2 linked regions of the Mus musculus genome follow. The protein of the gene in region 2 interacts with the protein of the main gene of each other region in a biochemical or structural test. Links are inferred from orthologs where the notes say so. Each region holds a gene or a part of one and is shown on either strand. Other genes may lie near its edges.

Evidence for each region.
Region 1: the proteins of Cttn (region 2) and Actr3 form a complex in vitro, tested with the Homo sapiens proteins (3 studies listed by BioGRID). The link is inferred for Mus musculus from reciprocal best matches to the Homo sapiens genes CTTN and ACTR3.

The regions. Positions count from the first base shown.
Region 1 is NC_000067.6:125,395,067-125,397,727, forward strand, and holds part of Actr3 (actin-related protein 3), read right to left. Parts: intron 2,479-2,661; coding exon 2,386-2,478; intron 2,167-2,385; coding exon 2,041-2,166; intron 86-2,040; coding exon 2-85; intron 1-1. UniProt on the Homo sapiens protein: ATP-binding component of the Arp2/3 complex, a multiprotein complex that mediates actin polymerization upon stimulation by nucleation-promoting factor (NPF).
Region 2 is NC_000073.6:144,468,136-144,472,381, forward strand, and holds the start of Cttn (src substrate cortactin), read right to left. Parts: upstream 2,801-4,246; 5' UTR 2,554-2,800; intron 1-2,553.

The sequences.
Region 1 (2,661 bases), on a different chromosome or scaffold from region 2:
CCGTGGAAGCCAGCATTGACCCTCCAAACCAGACTGCATACCGCTGCATATGGTGTGTAATAACTTGTACATCAATAGGCTTGGGCTAAAAAGTAACAAAGTAACAGTAAATTCAAATACCAATTTCTCAATCAATTAAGTTTAAATGCGCATACACAAAAATAATAATTATAAAGTCCAAGGGACAGAACTCAGGACCTGAGATTATCTAGAGTGGGTGTGATGGAACAGCAGATGAAGATGACCACACTTGTCAGTACACACAGCATAGCACCAGTATTTGCCCTACCACACCGGAGTTGAGAGGCTCCAAATACAATGATGCGTGTTTAAAGAAACTGAAATGCTATTACCTTGCTTTGATCTTACAACTTGCATACATGTATCAAATTATCACACTGTACTCCATAAATCATGTATAATTAAATACTAAACATATAAATCAAATACATATAAGGAGACATGCATGGGGCAAAACCAGGGCAGACAGAAACTAACTCTATTTTTGGCAACTACTTCAGCCACAAACAGGAACAAGTTAACTGTACTTTTGGCAACTACCTCAGCCACAACTATTTCAGGAAAACAAGAATGAATGTTAAAACTGCTGGTTGAAAAGTCTCATGAAGCACAGAACAGCTATATGGCCTGACAGCCTCCTCTTAAGTTTCTACACATGGGAATGCAAAGGTAACAGGCTATACACAGAAGAAAACTGGCAGGAAGCCTCTACCAAGCAGTTAAAGTCAATGCATTCTCTGACAAAACGCAGTAAAACTGACATGAAAACGCTTCTGTGATGTGACTGTCAAAGCACAAACTACACCCACCCAGAAGGAACACCAAACAGACCCATACCAAGACAAAGTTCAGAAAATACACAGCCTGAACTCTTCAAATATGTCCAGGCTAGGAAACAGTGAGCAAAGTGAAGCTTCCTAGAGCTCCTTAACTGGAGAATAGGCCAGCAAGATGGCTCAGTGTTAAAAGGCATTTGTTATCAATCTGAGTTTGCCCACAGGACCCACCCACATGGTAAAAGGATCAAACCAACTCATTCAAGTTATCCTTTGATCTCAACATGTGTGAATGCAAGCACACAGGTGCATGCGTGTACACACACACCACCCCAAATTATGGAAGGAAGGAAGGGAGGAAGGGAGGGAGGGAGGGAGGGAGGGAGGGAGGGAGGGAGGGAGGGAGGGAGGGAGGAAGGGAGGAAGGAAGAGAGGGAGGGAGGGAGGGAGGGAGGGAGGGAGGGAGGGAGGAAGAGAGAGAGGGAGGGAGGGGGGAGGGGGAGGGAGAGGGAGAGAGGGAGAGAGAGAGAGGAGAGAGAGAGAGAGAGAGAGAGAAAGAGGAATGTATGTTCCTTGACTAAATAATATAACATTGTTTTTGTTTTCTTCTGTTTTTAATTTTATTCTGTTTTCCTTTGGCTTGACAGATCATTCTTAAATCAACTGGTGAAATATGTCTTAGGTCAACAGCCATACCTTGTGTTTATAATCAATGTATGAATTCCCCTAAGTCAGAATTTAAACTTTTATGTGTGTGTCATGGTATGCTTGAGGAGGACAGAGGATAACACTGAGAGTTGCTTCTTTCCTTTCACCTTTCTATGGATTCTAGGGATCAAACTCAGGTCAGGTCACTGGGTGTGTACAACAAGCATCTCACCAGGCCCTGCTACACAGATTTAAAACTATATCTGTGAAACACAAGTCAGCCTTTCACACAGTGGAGTTATGTGAGTGTCAGAAGAATTGGTTGGTTGAGGAGGAAAGCAAACATAAAAACCTTTTTTGCACAAGCAGTCTGCCTGAGCTGTGACATTTTGTCATTTCTCAACAGAGCTCAAACCAGAGCAAAGTACCAAGCAACAAACTGCACCCATGATTCTAGGGATAGTGGCTACCTTCCAGCAGGACGCCTGGCATGATTGTCTTAATGCTCCTAAGTGAGAGCTGGCAAACATTCCTGTCCAGAATGCAGTAACAAGGGGGTCTTCCACATTCTCTGTCAATGGTTGAGAAAACCAACCTTCAATCTACCACCACTCAGCTCCTCGCTTAACTTCAGCCTGGCATCTACAGTTCTCTTCAAATCTCTTTGCAAACGACGTCCAAAGTCCCTGAACATGGTTGAACCACCAGAGAGGACAATGTTCTGTGGTGGTAGAAAACAAAAACAAAAAAAACCAAAAATTATGATCTTTATTTTAAAAGAGAAGCAATCTAGAGACAAATATACAAGAATTCAATTGTGTCTTTTCTAAGACACAATTCTCTAATATTCAACAATGAACAAGAATAAAGGCTTTAAAATATGCTATTAAATATTATGAAAAGAAAACTTAAAACTCCAGTTTTTGCTGTAAACACTAACCTTGTAGAGAGGACGCCGGACATCAATGGGGCAATTCTGAATGACTTCATCTACAACTTCTGAGATAGGTTGTGTAAAATCTGGATTAGCAAACTGAAAATTAAGTATATTTTATACATGAGTGTATAGAATTGTTATGTTAACATTGTGTTAGTGTAATGTTCAAGTTAATAACAATCCAGCTCAGGAGTGAAAGGACCATGGTGACCAACATACTACAGCTACTGAGGATAGAAGTCAGGCAAGATTCAATTAACAAGCCATGCCTGTACTATG
Region 2 (4,246 bases):
TCCAGTTTCGTTCTTTTCTAAAGGACAGAGCAGAGCGGCCCAGCTTGATAGTGTGTGCCCACAGCCTATAATCCCAACACTCAGGAGGCAGGAGGATGGCTGCAAGTGTAGGGGGCATGCTGGTGTACGTAGTGAGTTTCCGGTTAATCAAAGCTATAGAGATCCGTCTCAAATGCATCCCAACCACCACCAAAAAGGGAGTGGGAGGGAGGAGTAGAAAGAGAGACACATACAGACAGACAGACTCCAGGTTTGTTCCTAGGCTGGCCAGAACTCCTTGGTCTTAAGGTCCTCTGCTTCAGCATTCCCAGCCACTGGGACCATGGGCATGCACATTCTATGTAGATCTCTGAGAAGGCCAAAACTGTTTGTGGTGATGGCTGTACAACTCTGAATACATCGATAACCACTGAACCCTTCAATCGGGTGATCACGTGTAGGGTGAAATATCAATAAAGCTGATAGAAATCAGACGGGGACAGAGAAAGCCACTCAGCCCCACACAGCCAGCACGAAGCTCAGTCAGAGAGGACCTAGTCACAGGATGGAGGAATCCACCATCTTGAGGCCCTGAACCTGATACCTATAGCGCAGCGGAGCAAAGGTGGCTGGGTCAGGAGTTGTTATGGAAAGGGCAACCCCCACCCCATGCCTATGGAGGCCAGTGCACAGACGGAGTAGGCTAGCCTGCCCAGGACTCCATTAAGAGACAAGCTGGTAGGCAGACACGACCATGCCCAGGACAAAGACCAGGGGCACAAGGAGGTAAGGATGCTCAGGACGGTGCGGAGTTATGCCAGGTGCCTTCCCGACTAACAGGTCAAAGTCTGAAGGGCCAATTAAATTCCCTGGCATTTTACAAGGTGTTAAAGGCATAACTGTCATAAGCCCTCAATTAAAGGTCAGCTCTAGGGCCAGGGCTAAAGTTGGGTGGAGAAGCTGTCTAGCAAGGCCCAGGGTGCTCTGGAGACCTAGTACCACAATCAGTTCTTCAACCCCACCTCTGCACTCTTCTACATCTGAAGCTCCCACAAAAGCTGCTTCTCCCTCCTTCAAACTTCTGGTGACAACCTTCTCAGTCAAACAGAGAAGCAGTGTTGACTCAGGGCCTGAACTGGTGACTCACTCTGGGTGAGCCAGCAGAGGCCTGACCCCTGGTGGACGCTGGGGGAGGGGGGTGGGGGGTGGGCTGTAAGTTCTGACTGTGAGGGTCTACTGGGTGGTGAGGACTTACTGGAGCTTGGGCTACTTACTGGCAAGGCCCAGGCAGTGCAGCCAGGGCAAACCACTAGGAAGGGCTAAAGCCTCTGCTTGCTTCACTGGGCACAACAGGGAATTCCTTCTCCCTGGCCACAAGTCCCCATCCCTCACACGGACCAAGAGGAAACAAAGGAACATACCAGGCCCAAACACCTCTGCAGTGACTGGGCACACACCCAGGAGGAGGGGCGGCTGGATTCCAGGCTCCTTAGCTCCAGGAAGCAAGCTAGGCGCTTGGATTTCCATTGACCCCATTGCAAATTTCCCTCAGGTGCCCAGGCCTTTCCTCAGATGTTGGCCTCTCAGCCCAGTCCTGAGGACTAGAGACCAATGCTGGAACCCGGCTGCTCAGCCTTACCAACTTCCTACAGGTCCTTGGACCCTCATAATTCCACTGGGTTCTGGAACCCCAGGCTCCCCAGGCCCACCAGCTTCCCCCAGGCCCTCATCATTCCACTAGATTCTAGAAGCAAAGTCCCCTTACCCCCACCAGCATCTCCCAGGCCTCAGGTCTACATTCTTTTCCCAGGTTCTGGTACTCTGACTACCACAGACCCATAATTATGCACTCTGACCTAGAACACCCCAAACCGACTTAGCACTTCATCCTGGGTTCCTGCTCTGAAACCCCACCCCTTTCTTTATGTCCAAAATTCCTAGGGCCTGTGTCCTAGGGCCCGCCCCCTCAGAGCCAGACCGGCTGTGCACCCCTAGCTACTCCACAAATGACGGGATGAACGGCTCAGCATTGGTGTCCGAAACCTCCGATCCTTGCCCAATACCCGGGGCTCCGACGTCCCCATCCAGACCCTGCGACCCGGGACTTTGAGCCTCCAATCCTGGCCCTACACCCCGAATCCCGAATCCCAGCGCCACACCACAACCCCAACCCCCCGATTTCGGACCCACACCGCGAACCCTTGGCCTTGACTCTGCACCCCGGTTCCCCCTCCTAGCACTGCACTCCAACCCCCGATCCTAGCCCTGCAGCCCGGGTCCCGACGCCCGACCCCAGCCACACACCCCAAGTCACAATCCCGGCCCCACACCGCGAACACCGGGTTTTGGCCTGGAATCCTGACTCAGGGGTCCCAGCCCTACACTCCGAGGCCTCGACCAACAGATCCTGGCCCTGCACCCCTGGGCCCCGACCCTGCCCCGCACTCGGATCACCTGGGCCCAGTCCAGACCCTGTACCCCAACCTCCCGTCCAGGCCCGGCACCCTGACAACTCATCATCCCACACCCTTCCTGTCCCCCAGCAGCTCTCTAGGACGCCCATCCCCCGCTCACCGCACCAGCAGGGTCCACCAGGCTCCCGCCGCGCCCCGCCGCTCCCTGTGCCCGCTCACTTCCGGTTCCGCGGAGGCGGGGCCGCATCCGGGGCCACGCAAGATCCCGCCCTATTCCAGGCCGTCCCCGCCCCGTATTCCTGTTAGCTGATCAAGAAAGCAGGATACACAGTTCCAGGACTCATAGGCAGCTCGGCCGCCAGTCAGCTGCGGAGATCCGATTTAGAAACACCCGTCAAGCCCTGTCCAACACACATTCACCCTCAACCCAGCTTCCAACCATGTATCCACCCTGCAACTCTCTACCCACGCATGGATCTACACAGCATCATTCACTCCCCTGTCAATCTTCTACCCACCAATCCACCAATCTGTCCTTCTGCCCATCTACCCATACACCCACTCATCTAGCCATACATCTGTTCATCCATTCTTCCATCTATCTGCTTCCTATTGTGATCAAAAAACTGAACCCTGTCTCGAAAAACAAACAAAACAAAACAAAACAAAAAGAACTGATCAAATACAGCTTGGGGAGAAAACTGCTTATTTGGCTCATAAATTATAGTCCATCACTGAGGGAAGGAAGTTAGAACAGGAACTCAGGCAGGGCAGGAACTGAAACAGAGACTATGAAGGAGTGCTGCATACTGGCTTGCTCAGCCTTTCTTTCACATCCCAGGTCTACCAGTGTAAGGGTGGCAACCCACAACGGTGGGTTGGGCCCTTCTGAATCAATCAGTAACCAAGAAAATGCCCCCACAGACTAGCCTACAGGCCAGTCTGATGGCAATTCATCAACTGAGGTTTCCTCTTCCAAGATTACTCTAGTGTCAAGTTGACAAAAACTAACCAACATGTCACCTATACACCCATGTGTCAACCATCCATCTACTTATCTATCCATCCACTCATCTATCTGTCCTAGTTGACATTAACTGTCAACTTGAAACAGCCTAGAATCACATTTTTTTTTAAAAAAATCTCAAATGTGTACTTGTCTTATTTAGGTTATTCTGTGGGCATGATTGTCTTGATACAGGAGGGCCAACCCACTGTGGTCCATCCCTAGACAGGTGTCCTGGACTGTATAACAAAGCTAGCTAATAAGGCAGCGGCCAAGTGGATCACTTAGAGGCCAGTCTGGTCCTGATCAGCCAAGTGAGGGATTCTGTCTCTCCTGCCCCCCTCTCCAGAAGGAGGAGGAGGAGAAAGGAGATGAAAGAGGGAGGTTAGGGATGTAATTCAGTGGTAGAGTGCCTGTCTAGTATGTACAGGGCCCTGGTACCAACCTTAGCACCACAAGGCAGAAAACAAAAGGCTAAACTGTCAAAATTTATGAATAGATCAGGAAGGAAAAAGAGATGTCAGGTGTCAGAGGAGAATGTTCCCATGTGTGTGTGCACAATTCACATGTAAGTGTGCATTCAACTGCATGAGCACACATACAGAGGTCCAAGGACACATTCTGGCATCTTCCTCAGGAAGGCCACTCACTGCTTGAGACAGGATCTCTCTGGCCTGCAGTTCATCCACTAGGCTAAGCTGGCTGGTCAGCAGGCCCCAGAGATCCTCCTGTCTTTGCTTCTCTGCTGAGGGGATTGCAAATGTGCACCACTCCACCCACCATCCTCTCATTGGTTCTGAGGATCACACTCAGTCCCTCATGCCTGCAGAGCAAACACCCAGCCATC